Lonchura striata: one gene and its partner. The protein of the gene in region 2 interacts with the protein of the main gene of each other region in a pairwise test. Links are inferred from orthologs where the notes say so. Each region holds a gene or a part of one and is shown on either strand. Other genes may lie near its edges.

What was found.
Region 1: the proteins of AGTRAP (region 2) and PDHX interact in binary tests that used the Homo sapiens proteins (3 or more experiments, as listed by UniProt). The two-hybrid records come from large-scale screens. The link is inferred for Lonchura striata from reciprocal best matches to the Homo sapiens genes AGTRAP and PDHX.

What each region holds. Positions count from the first base shown.
Region 1 is NC_134608.1:43,716,000-43,726,086, forward strand, and holds the start of PDHX (pyruvate dehydrogenase protein X component, mitochondrial), read right to left. Parts: upstream 4,800-10,087; 5' UTR 4,786-4,799; coding exon 4,644-4,785; intron 1-4,643. Other genes in the region: APIP (methylthioribulose-1-phosphate dehydratase), read left to right, coding at 5,130-5,159, 7,358-7,458.
Region 2 is NC_134626.1:5,565,369-5,575,892, forward strand, and holds the start of AGTRAP (type-1 angiotensin II receptor-associated protein), read right to left. Parts: upstream 4,620-10,524; 5' UTR 4,573-4,619; coding exon 4,546-4,572; intron 1-4,545. UniProt on the Homo sapiens protein: Appears to be a negative regulator of type-1 angiotensin II receptor-mediated signaling by regulating receptor internalization as well as mechanism of receptor desensitization such as phosphorylation.

The DNA.
Region 1 (10,087 bases), on a different chromosome or scaffold from region 2:
GGGTAATGATCATCATCTCAGTGCCCCCATAGACACTGGTGACATGTCCCCTAAAGGTACTGGCAGATGAAAAGCTGTGATGTGGCAGGTTGTGGCTCACAGCCCAGAAGACAAACATAGCCTTCTAAAATCAGTGTGGCCAGCAGGTCAAGGGCAGTGATTCTGCCTTTCTGTTCTGGTGAGATCCCAGGATCTGGAGGAATGTATCCAGCTCCTGAATCCTCAGCACAGGAAAGGCATGGATGTGTTGGAGGGGGGTCAAAGAACATGCACAAAAATGATGAGGGAGGGAGCTCATCTTATATGAAGAAACAAGAGAGTCAGAGTTGTTAAGCCTGGAGAAGAGAAGATTCCAGGGAGACCTTATTGCAGTCCTGCAATAGTTACTAAAGGGGGCTTTTAAGAGAGATGGGGACAGACTTCTTAATTGGGCCAACAGCAATGGAACATGGGGTACTGGTCTGAATTGAAAGAGGGAGGATTTAGACTGGCTTTAAGGAAGATTTTTACAATGACAGAGGTGAAACATAGAAACAGGCTGCCCAGAGTGGTGGTGAATGCTCCACCACTGGGAGATTGGATGGGGTTCTGAGCAACTTGGTCTATTTAAAGATGCTCCTGCTCATTGCAGGGGGGAAGGACTAGATGACCTTAAAGGTCCCTTCCAATCCAAACTGCTCAATAGTTTTTTAAAAATGTGACACGGAAACATTGTAGCAAACCTCTAATGACCTAAGCAGCCATCAATGATCCTGATATTTTAAAATGCACCAAGAGCAGAAAGTTACTTATTCCCTAAAGCTCCCAAGACAAACACAATCAGAATCATGCTACCAAAAACATTTGAGTTTTGTGGAAACGAGCTCAATTGCATGGTTGATGTTCCCAGAAGAACATGCATTTGCATGAGCAAATGCACATTCTTTTGTCTCAGTTTTTTCATGGTAGTTTTCAGTTTAATATTACTCATGACTGTCATGTTTAGAAATGTATCCAGACAATGTTCCTTGTAACACTCACAATTCCCATCTGAATTACCTCTATGCACTTTCTTTAAAATGTTTTTTGCAACTTCTCATCTAGGACTAATAAACAGAAAAATGAACTATGTTATGTACGTGAATGCTTATCTGTGTTCATTTCCAAAATAGTTTTGTAGTATTTGAGGTATGACTGACAAAGTATGAGTTTAAAACTGTCTTATACTATACATATTTATTAAAAAATATTTCTCTATAACAGAAAGTAGAAAACATTATACATTATATGATACATTATGGGATGCAAAGAAGTGTTCTCAGTTTCATTAGTCTAACTTGACAAGTCTGACTTTGACAATCAAAACATTATTTTCAAACAATATCCCACAAATATCTAGGATTATTGAGAACTAGTGGACAAACCTCATTTTTAAAAGTGCAAATAATCCACATATTTAATGAAGAAAAATTTTTTTAAACAGTGGCTCACATTTCTCTTCCATGAAGAGCTATTTGATCCATTTCCCAGAATATGCTTTGTACTTTGGCACAAATACAAAACTGAGCAAGAAATTTGTGCCACTTTAACATTTTCCCATCAATGTTATGAGTAACTACCCCAAAGCATACAATCCATTCTGATCCTTTCATCAAGTTAGAAAAAGAACTCCAGCAGCAAGTTGAAATGGAGGAATAAACAAAGCTAGATACAAAGTAGAAGACAGAACCTTTTAATGCTTATGTCCAGAGAGGCCCACGCTCAGAGAAGTTCAGAGAATTAAGAGCCTTGCTCAGCATGAGATACGCAAGAACACCAGCCACAACGGGAGTGTTTCAAAGCTGGTTTAGTTACTTTTTGAGTTAATGACCACACACATACAAAAACCAGGCTTCAAAGCAACCCCGCAAAGAAAAGCAGCCTTACAATGTAGAATTACCTTCACCAAATATTATTTGCCCTCATCAAATTAAAAAGGGGATACTAAGAGGAATCACTGCATTTACATGAGTTAGTTGCACAGTACAGGCAGCCCTTACAAGGACTTCCATTGGGAAGGTAATATTGTTGCTTTGCAATTGTGGGTCAGCAAAAAGTTCTGGCAATTTGCACAGAATCTCAACGACTGAGCTCATGGGCAAATCAGAATTTAGAACCATAAGCAAGCAAAACTTCTGAATTTTCAGTCACCACCAACTGATTTTTACTTCTATCAATAGCAACTGTGTTATTACACTTCAATTATGTAAATATAAAGGAGGAAGACTTAAAACGAACCCAAACAAACTTCCCATGAACAAGAGACTGCTATTTTAAAGACAGCTCTCTGTGTATTCGTTCTTGGTGACACGTTTTAACTGTCAAGTTGAGTCTGGCAACATTTCTGCTGCCTTCCTTCTCTGTCAAGGGATTCAATGCATGTTTAACCTGTCCCACTAGAAAGATATTTCGTAACTTCCTACACACACTCTGCAGTCTGTAGAGAACTGAAAAATGTACTGCAACTTAACACCAATGTGGACTGAAGAGAGAAAAACAAGAAGCGTAGGACTTCATTAGCTAAAGCTCTAACTGGACAATGTTACTATGAAACATTAAAAGCAAAGAAAAATTGACACAGCTCTAACATAAAGAGGCCATTCTATTCTATTCTCTTGTTTTCCTCTTTCTCTGTTACCAACAAAGTAGGAATTCCATTCTGAATTAATTGTTTTAATTATGCAAATCAACTTTTCCTCTACCAGCACCACAAACATGGACAGAAGCATAGAAAGAAACAAAAAATTCATGCGACATGATAAACCAGATCCACATGAACCAATACATCAAATAGTGGCTTTTTCAGAAACAGAAAAGCAGAGAAATATAAATAATGCTAAAATAAAATTTGCTTAAATTTACATTGTCAAACTAGGAACCAAGGATGAGTTTTATGTCCAAATGAGCTGTGTGTCTTGTCAAATGAAGACAGTTTTACTTCTCATCTTTTATTTTAGAGGCAACAATGAAGTTAAGAAAATAGTTTGGTGATACCATTAAGAAAACTGGTATCACCAAAATACTCACCACCTTGAAAAGCTGTAAGTACACTAGAAGGATTGAATGAGGAAAGCCTGAATGACTTAAAGGTGTGATCTATCCACCCTAACACTTTAAAGCTTACTGTAAGGAATTAAAAGATTTTAGTCATTTGCATGTCCAAATTTAGAAATTTAACTCCAGCTATACATTAAGCACTCTCAATATAAAAAACACAATAGATTGTCTGGGAGGACTGTAGACAAAAATTATTTAAGGACAAGATAATAAGACCAATTTAGGAGTAGTTCATTGTGCATTATACTATATTTGCATACTATTATATGTAGAAAGAAACAAGCTTTTTCTAATGAAATTTGGAAACAAATAACATTTATTTCAAGAAAGGGATAGACTTTCCTGTATCTCACACAGCAGGTTTTACAAAGGAAAAGATTTTCATACTGCAAAGCAACAGTGCTGGAAAGAAGGGAATGTCGAGGTCTAAACCACAATGATTAAATTGTCTCTGAACTACTACTGAGTTTTATTACACGAGGTTAATGAAAGCTCACTTTTTTGTAAGCACACTTAAACCTCAAAGAGTTCAGGTATTTCATGCTCAGCATCACACAAGGACCTCATGACAATGCACCTGATCATTTTTTAAATGTTTTTTACAAGTTGTAACTTACAGAGCAAGCAGGGAAAGATGACATTTCATTTCAGGATCCGTAACTCATCCCACACCTCTTAGAGACAGAGGAAAACATGGAAGGGCAAATGATCTGCCTGATAATCATGTAGCAACAAACTCTTGAAGAATACATCTTGAAAGGGTGTTGTCATAACCTCACACCTTGATTTCTATGTAGGAAAGGATGCTAGACACACAAGTAATAAATTTTATTTTTCCATTAAAAAATCAAATAGAATAACATGAAAGATATATCACACATAGCAAGTAGGTTCTGCAGTTATTGGAAACATTACCAGAAGAGTAAGATGACAGAAATGTGGTGGAATTACCACACAAGGACCAAAATAACCAAATAAAAAACTTTCAGTGCTTAGCTATATTTCCACTTAGAAAACACAGTCCTGTTTTCAGTGGTGCAAACTTTCTCCTTATCCACAATAAAATATTCTCATATTTGAAGGCTTAATGTATTTTCCACTGTAGATTTTGCTTTCTTCCTTTCTAGACCTTTAATAATTACCACGTCCCTCCGAGTTTCTCCTGCCAGCCCACACACATCCCGCTGTGCTTTCAGTACCTCCCGAGACCAAGCGAACGGAGGGAGGACGTACAGCAGGGTGAAGAAAAGGTGTTTTGGGTTTCCCCCCTCCTTCGCATTATCCTGCTCTGATTTTGATTGGCAATAAACTCAGTGAATATCCCCAGTTCGAGTCTGCTCTGCCCACGACAGTAATGGACCAGTGTCCTTATCTCAGCACGTGAACCTTGTGCTATATTTTCTCTCCCCTGCCCGTGTGCGGAGGGGAGCTCTGGAGGAGCTGCGCAGAGCCCCTGACAGACACGCAGCCGGGGTCAGCCCACCGCAGCCACCCGCTCTCAGCCTTCTCCCCGCTGCACGTCCTCGCAGACGCACCTAGAGCAGGGCACCGGCCTCACCGCCACTCACCCAGCAGCTCCGGGGTGCCGTGCAGGTGCCTCCATCCTGCGCGGGCGGGCAGGGAGAGCCCCGCGCCCAGCGCCGAGCGCCCGGCCCGCAGCAGCCGCAGCAGCCGCTCCCCGCCGCCGCTCAGCCACAGGGACGCCGCCATCTTCCCCCGCCCCGACCGCGCGGGGCTGCCCCGCTGACCGCCTGAGCAGAAACAACCGGGCACGCCCCCGGAGCCCCCCGCGCCCCGCCCGCGGCACCGGCCGTGGGATCGGCCGCCTCGATCGCCGCGGCCACGGGCGAGTGCGATCGCACGGACATCCGCGCCCAGCCTGGCTGCTCGTCCCCCGGGCGCCCCCGCATCTCCTGTAGTCCCCTCGGCCCGCGGCGAGCAGCGGCCTCTCCATCCCGCCCTCCGGGGCTCGGGCCGGTGCCCACGGCCGGGGCGTGCCCAGCGCTCCGCAGGCGCCCGCGCGGGCGCCCCAAGAAGGCCCGAGCGAGGCCCCCATGGCGGGCGGCGGCGGGGACGCGGCGCAGGTAACGGGGCCGGGGCGGCGGGGCGCGCCGCTCCGAGGGCACCGGCACCGCGGGCTCGGCTGCGCTGGAGCCCCGCTCACTGCCGGCAGCCTCGCAGCTGCTCGCTAGCAGGGACGCCCTGCGAGTACCGGTGGGTGGCAAGCTGAGCACGAGCAGGAAGTGTGCCCTGGAGGAAAGTCAGGCAGCAAGGTCCAGGCGGAGTCAGTGTCCAGCATTCCAGGAGCAATGTTCATAAAAGCATGAGTTCGGCCTCAGCACGGGGATGAACTTCTTTACGCTGAGGCTGGCAGAGCACTGGAATAGGCTGCCCGAGGGAATCGTGGAGTTTCCCTCTCTGGAAACACTCAAAGCCCAGCTGGGCTTTCACCCGCTGGGGTGACCCTGCTTCGGCAGGGGGATTGCACTGAATTGTCTCCAAAGGGCTCTTCCAACCCAGCTATTCTGTGCGCCCACACAAACGTTATAAAATTTAGTACAGAATGTTGCCAGCTGTTAGTCTGGCTGCATCGACAGGAGTCATGGCTCTTTTTATGTTAACTGGGTGGTTTAGGTTTGTTTTCTGATTTGGTTTGTGGTTTTTTTTTGTTTTGTTTTGTTTTGTTTTTTTTGTTTTGTTTTGTTTTGTTTTTATTTGGTCTCTGACTGGGGCTTTATCTGTCATCACATCACAACCAGAACATGAGCTGGCAGTGCTGTGCTTCAGCAAACACTGAGCATATGGAGGCATTGTCTGGATGAGGCTCAGAACATCTCTCCAATTTGTATGTGACACTGGTGGAGAGACCAGCCCAAGCTTCAAAACCAGCAAGAACTGGCAGCAGGGAGATGAGAGGTATCAGCAGCCTAGATAATGTGGCCTGCCAGGAAAGTGGGAGGGAATCTAGCTCATCATAAACAAAGCAAAGCAAAAAAAGAGCAGCAGATTGAGTTGTCACAATACATAAAACATTGTCACAGAGGTGAGAGGGAAGACCATCTCCTGCATGTCCATGATCTTTGGTAAGAGAGAACAAATCCCACTGTCACTGGAGGTTGTAAAGATGAGGTTAAAGTAGGAGATTCGAAACGTTGTCAAACGTGCCCCAGGCTGCCATCTCCAGTAATTCACCTTTCCAGTCTCTGCCTCACGCTCCTGTTCCATGCTGCCTCCCCACCCTTACTTCTGCAAGTCCAACTCTTCTTTGTAAACATTTCAGCAAAGGTATTGGCACCAAGCACCTGCTTACCATTTCTACTGTGTGCTGCTATTGTTTTGGGTCTCTCTATTCTGTTGGTGTTGACAAAATGCTCCCCCCCCCCATGTGGATTCTTGGTGCTGAACAAATATTTTAATTGGAAATTATTTTGATGGGCATTAGTGACCAGGGTGAGCACTAGAGCAGCTAATCATTTTAAAGCTTCTAGTTGGTGCAGTAAAAAAAAAAAAGAATCCTACATAAAAGCACACCATAAAAGCAGCTCTATTACAGTGGTAATGTTGGTAGAAATTCTAACCTCTGACACCAGAGATACCTTTGGTTAATAGATATGGATATTAATGTAATAAAAAATGGAATAGGGAAAAACTACAAGATGGGTTTTTTCCCTTCTAAAGAAGTATTAAAATAATGTAATTTGCTTTTTGACTAAACTGCATGTAAAGTAACTTTGTGTTGTAAAAATGTAGGAATGTAAAGCCCATAAAATAATTTGCATATATTTTCCGTGGTATTTTTGAGTGCTGTTTAAAAATGTATATTGACTAATAAAGTCTGTCTGAAATTTGTAAATCAAGCAAAATAAACCTACAGAAAAACTGATTTAATAGGAAAACTATTAGTCAAGCTTTTAAAAATTGATGTTAGATGCATTTATTTTCCCCTTTTTTGTGCAATAGTCCATAACATAATCCTGCTGGTGTAATATCTACGGGCCACTGCGCTCAAATAAATTTTAGATGAGACTTCTTCTGTGAAGGATAGTCAGACTTGCACCTTATTTGGAGGTTTTGTTTGTTTCAAGGTGTAATGTCCCTGGCAGAGCATAAAGGGCATTGTGTAAACATGCAGTTATTTTGTAATTGAAATTCATTAGCATAAATTAGACCATTTTGCTGTAGTATGAAGGTACTAATCCTTTAAACCCAGTTTGAGAGCTTGAATTCTTAGGTTTGAGGTGTTTCTGATGGTTTTTCATTGATTTATTTATTTGCTTTTTAGGATGGGTTACATCCAAGGAATCTTATCCCAGAGCTTTGTAGACTATTTTATGGTTTAGGCTGGGTAACGGGAACTGGTGGAGGAATCAGCTTGAAACATGGGTAAGTAATGATGAAAGAAATAATGTGGTGGTGAGAGAGAGGTTGGCTGTGTTTCGTAGTTGGTGAGGGCATTTCAGTTCCATGAGAAATATTTGCAAGTCAAGAGTGAGCAAGAAGTTAGAGGGGGAAATGAGCAGTTTGCCAAAATTAACCATATAGGAGGAAGGTGAATTGTCTGAATTAATTATTGCAGACCCTTCAATGGGGAGAGACAATTTCAGAGAGTGACCTTATTCTGTACTTTTCCTACCTTTGTTTGAGGTAGATGAATTGTCTTTAAAGAACAATGTGTTCCCCCTTTTTCATTTCACTGACTGTGAAATGAAAAATGGAATTTATAGTGGATTACATCAGGCTTTCAAATGCCTGTGGTTAAATAAGATCAGTCTCACCCTGGATGTATTTTACAGGCCAGATATTTCCTCTAAGAAGGAAATTCCTGTTCCACTGAGGTCATTTCTAAGGAGAAAAATATTTCACATATAACTAAATCATGACAGGTAACAGCAATTTTGGGTCTGTATCTCCTATGAAGAAGCACCACTTTGTGTTTTAATTTGCCTATCTCCTGCCTTTTCATAATCCCCAATCCTTTTAGTGGGAACAGAGCTCCTCTCAGTGGCCACTGGAAAAAAGGATAAGTCTTCATTCTGTAAAAGGCCTTGCACAGTGCCTGCAATTCTGTACCCAGTCACAAGGTTGTGACACGATCTTGAAAGTATCTGACCTCTCATTTTTCCAGTATACATTTGCATGCAGGCACAAACAGCCATTGTATTCCAAGATGTATTTTATATATATATAAAAAATAAATAACCCCTAAACGCTCATACTTGTGCTGTTTGAACTTTGTGCAGGTCATTTCACCTCCCTGCTTGATTTTGCAAGCAAAGCCACAACAGTAATAATAATGAGATGAATGAAAAGAGGATAAATTCTGTGGGAAGATCTTTTTAGCTCTAATTTGTCATCAGTAGCTAAATGTAGCCTATTTTCTTTGTCATTCCAGTACAACTCCTGTTGGGTTTGGCAAGACAAATGTCATTATCAGAGAACACACTAATATAGTAATATAGTATTCCTTAGTAGTTCTCTAGCTGGTTTACTTGGCATTGTTAGAAAGGAAAATGTAAAAGAACAGTTGAAATTTGATTCAAATATAACAACTGTTTTTACCAGGTAATCTTAATCAGCCTTACTCACAGAGCAGTTCATATCAACCATCAAGAAAAAAAAAAAAAAATGAAAATTTGGACTTGGCATAGCATGTTAAAAATGAATGTAGAATTCTTTGTGAGCTATCTTGTATTTGAAGACTTTATTTTGTCATCATATTTTCTCGTTATGGTTAAGTTCTAAAAAAGAAAAAATCTGGTTTAAGAAAAATTTTTTGTCTGTCATAAGTAGCTGAGTTTACCACTTGATTTCATATCTTTCTCATGCAAATGAATCAAGATTAAATTAATGCAATGCCAGCAGTGTTAATTCATTAATGTCAAAAATTACAAATATGATAAAGCCACATTTTTTTGTGCTTCACAGACATTTTACCTCTATGAATAGTACATCATCTTAAGAGTTTTATTTTTGGAAGAATTAAAATCACAGAATTGTTTAGGTTGATAAAAATCCTTAATATCATCAAGTGTCCAACCATAAACCTACAACTGCCAAGTTCTCCACTAAACCACATTTCTAAGCATGATGCCTAAGTGTCTTCTAAAATCTTTCAGAGATGATGAGCCAAGTGCTTTCCTGGGCAGCCTATTCCAATGCTTGGTAACCTTTTCAGTGAAGAAATTTTTCCTAATATCCAATTTAAACCTCTCCTGATGTAAATTGAGGTAATTTCCTCTCATCTTGTCACTGGTTACCTGGCAGAAGAGACCAACCTCACCTGGCTACAGCCTCCTTTTAGCCAGTTGTTGAGAACAAAGAGGTCTTCCATGAGCCTTCTTTCTTCCAGGCTAAACACCCCCAGCTCCCTCAGCTGCTCCTCACAAGACTTGTGCTCCAGACCCTTCACCAGCTCCAATACTCTTGTCTAGAACTACAAATACCCCATGGTCCATAGGAAATGTGTCTGTAACTTGACTAATTATTCACTAGATGTCTCTGTGCTCCTTAGTACGTGATTGCTGAAGCCAAATATGATTGCAGTTCAGAGAGAGAATATAATTGGGGGTTTTGTGCTAATAATGAAAATAATGCAGTACGATCTTGAAATCATTTTAGTTTCAATCAGTTTTTACAGTTTTTCTTCATTTAGTCCTTGCAAGAAGTGATGCATTTCTACTTAAATTTAATTACACTGAATTAGTGAATTAGTGCTATCAACTCAACTAAACATGGAACTGCACTAGAAACCTAACCTCCACAGTTGAAAAAAAAGTGTTTACAGTGTTGCATGTTGCAGATAATTATTACTGTTTATAGATATTTTATGGATTTTTATGTAATGGTTTTGTCACCTGCCTTATCACAGATCATTATCTGTTTGCAATTTCTCATTTAAATTTTACTCTGAATTCTAGGAATTTGAGTTTGAGTTACTGCATGAAGAGGCTTTTTTTCTTTGTTGGAAAAATAAGGCTACACTTCTTACATTTGTTTCTGATGTCTGTCAAGT
Region 2 (10,524 bases):
CTGTGAACCTGATCCTGCCAGAGCACACAGCTCTTTTCACTCCCAGTGAAGCCACTAGGTCCCATTACCAGCAGTGGCCTGAGTAGCAGTAAGATAATGCTATCATAAATTCTGTATTTTGCAAGTGTCCTTAATGATCATGGTCCTTGTGCTTAATGGGACAAATCCAAGAAGAAAGGATCATACTGTAATAAGTGATACAAGGATGCTCTTCACCACCACTTGCCATTTTTGTAACCAAGGAAACATACCCTACATGTTTATTCAGAGAGCAAATGGGAACAACAATATATCACCCAAGGCTTTTTCTGTATCTATAGTCTGCTGGTCACTCCAGCAAAAGGAGATCACTCCTATTTCCTCTCTAAACTTTTATAAAAGCAAGAATATGGGAGACAAGGCTCTATTAACAGCCTCACTAAGGAAAGGCTGAAGCCTGGACATATCAGAGGATCCATGGGATACAGGAGCACTTTCATTTTTTCCTAGCTGTGAGAAAGTCTTCAAATTGGCATTTCTGCTGACCTTGGTATTAAAAAAACCAAACCCACATTATCAAAACCCCTCTGAAGCACACTCCCCCACACCAAAGGAAAAAAAGAAAATTGGGAAATGAGTACACAGCAAAAGAATAAGTTACTCAGTGAACACAGGAAAGCTGTATGCAGATAGGAGCATAAAGGCACAAAAAATAAATTAAGATCTACTGACAGCCTGCTAGATTCTTTGACTTAAAACATCTCTCATCCCACCACAGCTGCTGAGCACTCACTAGACTTTGCTGTAACTTCCAACAATGCTTAGAGAGATTTTTACTAATTCATTTTTTTAATTGTTTATGAAAGCTTACAAAATGCTTCACTACCCCTTGTGCTTCCCCTTCTCCCAAATTGTACCACAGACACAATGGAAAACCTGCTAATCAGTAAAATACAAGATGTTCCTGGATAAGAATGGAGACATGCAAATAGCATTTACTCAAGAGACTATCACAACATCAGGAAAAATTTTAATTAGGTGGTATTTAATTGCATGTTACATACCCACAAGACCCCGCAAGGCTCACCAGTTAACATAATTAAGCAGGGTGGGTTTTTTTAAAAGCTGTCTAGATCAATACTGCAGTTACTAAATTATGAGGTATGTTTAGTCATCAGCATAAAGTCAGGTATACTAGGGCTTATACTATGAATGGCTGCTGAAATAAAACCAAGATATTCCCTTTTTAGTTATTAGTCCAATTTACCTGACAGTTCTTCAGCAGTCTATGAAATGGCTGGTGGTGTTGGTATGCTTTAACACAGAAAATATGGTGTTAATGAAAAACTACAAGCTACTATGTGAGACCAGTTAATTTGCAGGCACTCTTCTAATAAAACAGCAGAAGAATTTAAAATTTTTCCATCTATCCAAGGACTTAAGTCTGTAGATAAGACAGACATACATTTCTTCTTTTGAGAAAATAACTCTGAAGTTATTGATGAACTAGTGGTGAGAGCAGAAAATAAGAAAGGTGGGTCTTTTGTCTCCATCTCCTCTGGGAAAAAGGATGGCTATGTAATTAAAAGCATCCCATTGGAAACTGGGGAGAGCTAAGGAGAATTCCTACCTCCTTTGCAAATCCCAGCATGTGATGGAACTAATTGCCAAGCATAAAAAGAGCCAGTGTCTGCCAGGGTCTCATTAGATGGGAAGCTCTTTGGAACAGGAACTCTTTTAAACATGCTTCAGCACAGAGCTTAGCACAAGACTGAATTTTGAAGAAGTTAAAAATGAAACAGTTCCAAATTAAAGTTATTTTCTTGGTTTTATCTAAATTTCTATTTTAGAGTGAGCTCGCCTACTCTACGGCATTCACCTGAGAACACACAAAACCAAAATATTAATCTGAGTGGCCACCTGTGAATATGCTCCTCATTATTATAACAGAGTGATAATAATGAGAGTGCTTAAGCAGTGGGACAGACTATACAATGGGGCTGACATGGCTCTGTTCTTATTTTAAAACTCAGCTGATTTTTGAGTTGAGCTATTTGATCTAACTTTGCAGTTTGCCTTGCTTTGAGTAGGAGGTTTAATCACATGGCATACAGACATCTCTATTATTCCTTGACTCGGTGACTTAGCATTAAAAAATGCCTAAGCACAAAATACGTGTTTCCAGGCACATGGATTGTAGGGCATTGTCCAGCCTTGATCAAACGTTGTATTTCAAGGCTCTGCATGATTATTTCAATAATCATGGCTGTCATGGCAAAAGTATGGCTGTGCTGCTTCCCCCGTTTTGCTGAGCATGGCTGTTAAAACCAAGCCAGTAGATCCTGTTCAATGAGCATGTTCCCCACCCACTCCAGGGCAAAGCCTACCTTAATTTTACAGCTCTGCAAGGAGCTTAAAGAGAGACCCCAAGGCTAAGATACTGCTACATTCTGGCACAGGCACAGCTCAGTCATGCAGCTTTCTTTGAACTATCTCTATCACAAGACTCATCTTCATAATCTCACAGAACCTGTAAGCAGATCATGCCAATGAATAGCAGCAGTGTGTGTTACTTACTCTTCTGAGTAAGAATCTTCCCCACCTTTGTGGTATTTTACAGGGAATCAGGCCCTAACTCAGGTACAGAATGAAGTGCAGGCACAACTATTAACTCCCAATTCCTGTCTTTGCAGCTCAGAGCAGAAGTGGCAGACTTCACAACCAAGAATTTCTTAATGCTGAAAACAGTTTGCCCAGGACAAACTCACACTTATCTAGCAAGAGACTGGGAAAACAGTTGTCTGAACAAGAGAAGAAAAGCAACATTTTAGTTTTGTTGTCTTTGTGGCTCATTCATTGAAAAGTCAGTGTTTTTCAGCTCCCCTATCTTCATTTCTCATGGAGAACATGTATTTCGTGTTGGCAAAATTTTTAATTAAAATGTCCTTAGTTTTCACTGTTGTTTTAGCGTGGAAAAAAAAAATAATCAAACCAAGTTAAAAAACAAAGCAGAAGGCAAGATCTTTTAATCTTCCTAGTGCCCTGGGAACTACACAGTAGTCCAAACTTGTCAGAGCAAAGTATCAGCTAGTTTCCAGAATGTAATATAATCCACAAGCTGGGCCTTGAAAAATCCATTTGCTTACTTGCCTCTAACAAGGGAAGTTGCTTTTCTTGGTGAACTAGTAAGAGGGGTATTCATCATTATATGAACAGCAATCTTTTCTTTAATACAGCCACATGAAAGCTGTCCTGTACAAAGCTGAATTAATAATGGTAGCTGAGATAATTCTATTCTCTCTTCCAACCCATAGGCAACCTGGTCCGAGGCCACTGCTCACAGCTTAACGAATCACCAGCAAAAAAAGCCCTGATGTGATCTGTGATGCTTTCAGTCTCTGGGCAAAGCTTTAACCAAAGAAAGCACCTGAACCATTCTGCATTAAATGAAATCACAAAGTAGCAAAGCTGGGAAAGGACAGAAACATCTAGAAATCTCAGAGTTCTGAAAATGTGAAAGAAAAAAGAGAAAAATATAACGTATCTGGTAGCACAGAAGACATCAGAATCAAATATCGACATCAAAAGCAAAGTGTGATTTTAACATCCACTGGCTTGTCACCAAGTGCTTCTTCCAAAAGTGAAAAATGTTATGTTACTGGTTAAGTCTCTTATATCTCCTTTCCCTGGTTATCAGATATTCATTGAAATTTCCGAAGTGCCCACAAGTGGAGCCTGCCCTCCCCAGCAGAGAAGCAACTGCAGTTATGTCTCAGATGATAAGCCCCAAGTAAGTGAACTTATTTTTCTAAGATACTTTGTCTGACAAGCAAAACTTTGTCTCCTCAGGATTGAGGAGTGCAGTGTTTATCTTGCCTTAGTTCTGGTCAGCTGAGCTGGAAACCTCCATGGACACTAGTTAATAGCCAGCTGTTGTCTCTGCACAGTCCTTAGCCACTTCAGCAATATCTCTGAAGTAGGGTCAAACTTTGGAGTCATCACCTGGTGGGTTTAACTAAGAATCATAAAATACACTGAGTTGGAAGGGACCCATCAGGATCACCAACTCTTTGCACTGCACAAGACACCCCAAGAACTCCAGCCTGTGCTTGAGCTCATTGTCCAAATGCTCCTTGAGCTCGGGCAGGCTTGATGCTGTGACCCTGCGGAGCCTGTTCAGTGCCTTATCACCCTCTGGGGAAAAGGTTTTCCTGATAGCCAACCTAACCCTCCCCGCGACTCGGATTCCTGGCGTTCAGAACTTCTGCACCCTTTGCGCATGTGATAAAAAAAAAAAAGTAGAAACTTCAGTTTTTCCTTCTTAGGAAAAAGGAGGAAAACTTCAGTTTCTTCTCCTTAGGAAAAAGGAGGAAAACTTCAGGTTTTCCTCCTCGGAGAGCCCCGCAGCTCCGAGCAGGGCCTCAGCCAGGACGTGGAGCAGACATTCGGCTGGAGAACGTGCGAGAGGAAAGGATACGGGGAGGGCTGCCCGGAGTGCCCGCGGCTCCACCCGCCCCAGGAGCCCCCCGGCCCCGCTCCCCGGCCCCGGGGCAGGGCAAGCCCTACCTTGAGGCTGACGGCCGGCAGCTCCATGGCAGCGGCCCCGGGGCCGCTCGGTGCGGCAGGGCCGGGCTCAGGGGCGGGGGGAGCCGGGACACCGCCCCCGGCCCCGCCCGGCCCGGCCGCGTCGGGCGCTGCCGGCGGTGCTGGGCCCTTGCAGAGCTCGCTGAGCTAGGCGTGTCCAGGGTGCTCTGCCTGCCTGGTGTGAACTGTTATAAACGCAAATTAGTCCAGCCAAATTAAAAGTGAAATAATAAAATGTTTATTTAGGATCGAATTCTTCCCGGGCCCAGAACAGGCCCTTGTCGGAGCTCGCTGAGGGGCGGCTGCTTAGGCGTGTCCCGTCAGGGCAGACAGCACAGGTGCTCTGCCTGCTTGATATGAACTGTTATAAACGCAAATTAGTCCAGCCAAATTAAAAGTGAAATAATAAAATGTTTATTTAGGATCGAATTCTTCCCGGGCCCAGAACAGGCCCTTGTCGGAGCTCGCTGAGGGGCGGCTGCTTAGGCGTGTCCCGTCAGGACAGGCAGCCCGGGTGCTCTGCTTGCTTGATATGAACTGTTATAAATGCAAATTAGTCCAGCCAAATTAAAAGTGAAATAATAAAATATTTATTCAGGATTGAATTCTCTCTGAGCCAGCCACAAGGAAAAGGACAGTGCCGAGCCCGGGTTCGGCGCTGGGTGCATGACAGGAAGGAGCCTCTGGCAGAGGTTCCCCTGGACACACACAGACCACACTCCTGGGCCCTGCAGTTCTTACAGGAAATTTTCCGCCCGAGGCCAGGATTTCAGCCTTTTCTTTCTATTCAGAGTCCCACATATTCATAAAGTTCTTTTCTCCGAGCCGGGGTTGAACAATCCAGGTCCAGGTGTGGACGATTTTTCCTGATTTTCCTGGCGTTCAGATGTATCAGCCCGGAGGACTCCAGTGATCCCAATCTTGGATTGTTACCAGGATGATCAGCTCCCAGGTCCTTTGGGATTGATCAGCTCCCAGGTCCTTTGGGACTGATCAGCTCCCAGGTCCTTTGGTATTATTCAGCTCCCAGGTCCTTTGGTATTATTCAGCTCCCAGGTCCTTTGGGACTGATCAGCTCCCAGGTCCTTTGGTATTGATCAGCTCCCAGGTGTTCCAGCCCATCTCCAGACCGGCCACATGTATAAGATTGTAAATGAGGCATTGTCCAACAAAACCCGGCTCTGGTGTAACCGAATATGTGTGGGGGGGCAGCTCACAGTGCTGGTGTGTGTAGTTTGTAATAACTAAATATTACACGTGCCAAATCATATTTCCCTTGATTCAATACAACAATATTTCATTAGCGCAAATTATAATAATGCATAACAGAATTATCTTGATAATGCCTCTTTTATGTGTAGTAAACATAATTTGCGCCATTCCTTGTATGAAATATCTAATATTGGATACTTGACAACCCTAACAATTCTGTGAATTTGTTTCAAAAGCCACCATCAAGTTAAAAATATGCATATATAAGTTTCTTGGTTGCAAACACCCAGCTAAAGTGTGCACAGATCAGTTTGTTGGCTGCAAAAAGGCAGCCAAACTCTTCCTTCTATTTGCACATGCAATGTAGTGAGACAAGGTTGGACATTATACTTTGGTTGTAATCAGTGTCTGGGAAAGCTGTGTGCAAAGGACTTAGCAGCTTTCTGCAGGAAGAGTTCTTGTGCATATATCAGTGGTCTGACCAAAATTTAAGGAGTTGCAAAGAAACTGTTGATAGACACCAACAAAAAGGTTATTTTGAGGTGCTAACTGTGCTCAGCTACGTCACCCAACAGCTAAGTCAAGTTAAGGTCAGTCTTAGGTGTTGAGGCAGTAGCTAGGATGGCTGGCAGGTACACAGTTGATTCCCTTGGCCCTGGATTTTTCCCCTAGAACTCAATGACTGTATCCTTTGCCTAAAATCCTGGTGCAAATAACAAGTTCTTCATTTCTTATTCCTAAAGAAATCTGGTTTCATTTTAGAGCTAGAGAAGTTGCTAAGTGACCAATTCAACCCCACACAGTTCAGCTGTAATTTACCATTTCCTGTGTAGTTCATACCAGCAGCCTTCTCCCCAAGTCTAGCAAATGAAGTAACAGAACCCAGAGGTCAGGATGACATTTCTCAAACCCTCCTATCCTTGCCTAATGTGTGCTGTCTGCAGTGTAAGGCTGTGATGTCTTATTAGGTTAGTTCCTTTCTTGTCATTATTCCTTCTTAAAGAAAAGATGGGGCCTCTGAGAAATTAGCTGGGTCAGAGGTTCATTGCAGAAGTTGGATGTGGAAATGCATGTGTCATCCTTCAGTCTCATTTCCAGTTCAAGCAGTGAGAATTGTGCAGTGCTGAACCTACCATCAGACATTCTCAAACAAGCCACAAATGTAGTGCTATCCAGCCTGTCCTTGACCGTGTCCTGAGTGCTATTGACTGCTTCAAGCAGCACACTTCAAGATTTCCCAAGGCAAAGCATTAAATGCCAAAATGAAATTACCTAGAAAATGCTAGGAAGCATAGAGGATAAAACTAACTGGCTGCATAGCTAAGAACAAAAGTAAAAAACCCAAAAAGGCTGTGAAAGTCCCCTCAGGAATCTCTGAATATGTCACTTTCAAATGAAAGATTGAAATATAACTCCTATTTCCTCATGACACATGAGCTGTGCCTTCACTTCCATTATTATGTCTTGCATGGACACATTACTGGGTCTTGCAGGGAAGTCCTGTCTTTATCTACAGAAGTGGTGGTATCAAATAACATCAATGCTAGTGGTTCCAGTAATGCCAAGGAATGACTGGATTTCAACATAAATGACAAAAATATGTGACACTTGGGATGGGGGAAAAGCTAAAGAGCCTGAATAGGCACACTGCTGGCTCAGTGCTGTGTGCGAAGTGCACTAGGATGCCCTTCTGCCCAGACAGGTATCTTTCAAAGGAGAGCTGTTTGTTAGGAACATAAATTCTGCTGTCCCAGTTGAATGATAAGCACTGATAGGATGTAGCATCATGTGGGCGTCTTTGCTCCCTTCAGCTTTCTCACTCAGCCTGAGACAGAGTCTCATTATCATTTATGCAGCGTGAGCCATAATTTGAATTGATGTGTCCACTGTTCAATGCAAAGCATTTCCCCTTGTACAATAAAAGCACTTGATTTCATTTTGTTCATCAGTGTATCATGCAGTTAATTCATCCCTGCTTATTATATCCTGGGCTTGCATGTCAGGGACTCAAGGGATTTAGGAATTATCTCATGGATATGAAAGCAATGAGAGCTGTGACTGACATTATGCATTTGTATGTCTGTCACACCTGTGTGATCTGGGGGTTGCTTGTTTTTTATTTCTACATTGTGCTGGTGTACCTTGTAATTTGCCTCTCTGTGTAACCACTGTCTCTCTTCCCTTCCCCAGGTTTAATGAAGAAACACAACATGGTGAGGAAGATAAGCAGTAAGTTAAAGAAGGGCTGCAGGGAGAAGCAGGTTACCCAGGAGACTGGATAAACAGATTTTTGTGACTAGAAGACTGCTCCAGGTGATTTCAGCTCACTGCAACCAATGCCCAGCAATTATCTGCTTTATGCAAAAGCTGTTGTTTTTTAAAATATTTTGGTTTGCCTTGTGCAGACTGAGTAAAAGCCTAATACACAGCTGGATCTCCACACTGATAGCAATAAAAGTGAGCTAATAAAGCAGAAATGCTTTCCTTTGCATTTTCAGGACACTGTACCCTTGGTGTGTAAGATGATAGCAATTCCATAGGTTAATTCCATAGAGTTAATAAAATTGCTTCTGCTGTCCTTATCTGGCCCTTGGAGGTGGAGACAAGCTCCCCTCTCATAGTTCTGCCCTTCTCCCCCTCTCTAGGGGTTTAGTCTGAAGACAACTAAAGACTGCAGCTGACACCAGCATCTCTAAGTTTTGCCCCTGGCTATGGAGTTGAGAGCAGTGAAGGCACCAGCTCAGCACAAATACATATATATATTAGCCACAGAGCCTTTCTGAATAAGTAGTGAGGAAGGACATATAGAAGTTGCCCGGCTCTACAAACTCCCTTTTAAATCCCAGTGGGAAATCAGCAAACAGAATCATTATCTGTATTGGAGGGGAAAGTGAAGGTATTTTGGATGCTGGTGGAAAGCCTCCTCCTGCAATTGCAATGCAAAACAGACTATGGCAAGGTGATTTGGGGAGTGGAGAGGGTCACATTAATGTGGTGTCTTGACAAATGCACTTGGAAGTCCTTCCCAATCTCAGCAGCAATGAGCTGCTCCTCTGATTTTCTAAGATCTAACTAAAGCTTTGAGATATCATTAAGAGACCACTCTTCAAGGTTCACTGGCACTCCAGAAAATGAACTGAAGCACCAGAAGTGGTTTTATGGAGCACATATGCTCACTCAGAATGTTCCAAGAAAACAACAGCCCTCGGGTTTTTTTCTGATAAAAAATATGAAAGTAATGTATTTTCCAGGCTTCATGTAGCAGAGAATGACTGGCATGGATGAGAACAATTTGATATAGCATGGGTTTCAAATTGAAGCACTTTCACACACTGTGGATTTACAATGGGGTAATTACTGGGGGAGGGAAGGAAGGGAGAGAGTTTCAATAAAACACCTCCAAGCGAAAATGAATGCAGACTATTACAGACCTGAGACAGAATAATTCCCAAGTGTTTTAATTTGTGCTTCCACTCCTTGCCTCTCTTGCAGTCATCATTTTGGCAACTACCAGCAACATGCCTGAGATCCAACAGCATTTGCAGAGCAGGCAGCTGCTGAAGTGATTATGTCAAATCAGCATGCTCTTCTCTCTTTTCAATGTTTAATGATTCTCACCCTTGGAGAAGCAGTTTAAGGTGATGCATAACCTTTGGACTCTCAGGGACAACTAACAGCATTAGCTATAGAATAGGACTTTGGGTGGGACTTTGTCACTCACCTTTATTGCATGCATGCTCTGTGATTAACTTTAGAAATTATTGCACAAAGTCCTGCTATGGCTGGTTTGGGCCTACTCCAAAGTCCTTTCAAGACAATAGTCAGTCTTGCAAGAGCTCTGACTTAAATTCTCTGGGGGCAGCAGAGAAGCTGAGCTTGTGTGAATTCTTAATTTGAGTTTCTTAAACAATCAGTTGAGAAGAACATATAAATCAAGTCTTGCTTGACATTTGTATCTCTCTCTTGTTCAGACTTAATGCCCTCAAAGGCAAAACTTACTGAGAGCACTGTGACTACAAGATACTGGGAAGAAAGGGGAAAGCTGCTAAAAGTAACCCGTGATGGTGATGCTCTGCAGCTGCTGTCATGCCTTTGAGACAGCACAGAGTGGCACTAAGAAGCTTTGCTGTGCTCACAGGTGGGTTGGACTTGTACAAATATTGCCCTGGGGTTTTATATCACAGGCTGCTCTTGCATTCTACACTTTTGCATGTTATTTACTCAACAGCTTTCCTTTGCACTTTGCAGTTGTGAAGTCAGTAGTCGATCTGGCTGACCTGTAATTCAGGCTGATTCCTTCCACGCTGCTGTGGCCATGCAGCATGTGCCTGTGCCACTGCTCACCTTCCTGCTCCACCTCTGCGACACCACAGCTTGACTCAGCAGGAATGACACTTGGTCACAGGCTCTCTTTCTGAAACTCCAGTGTGAGCAAGCAATCCAGTAATCTGTAAATTGCATCAGTAAAGTTGACTGATAACAGTTAACTGGATTTTCACTGACCTTAACTAATCCCACCAAAATTAAGAATAATGCTTTCTTTCTATTCAGAATCAATAGCAGACTGAAGGCTGAAAAAGCAAGAACTGAAGGAATAAGTCTGCTTTTAGAGTCTAAAAGCTCTAAAAAAATTCAGACTTGCTTGTATTTCACATGATATGCAACACAGTCTTGCTTAAAACACTGTCCATGATCCTACAAGGATCCCATTTGTAGCAAAAGAGGCAAGGAATACCTGCACACCAAGGA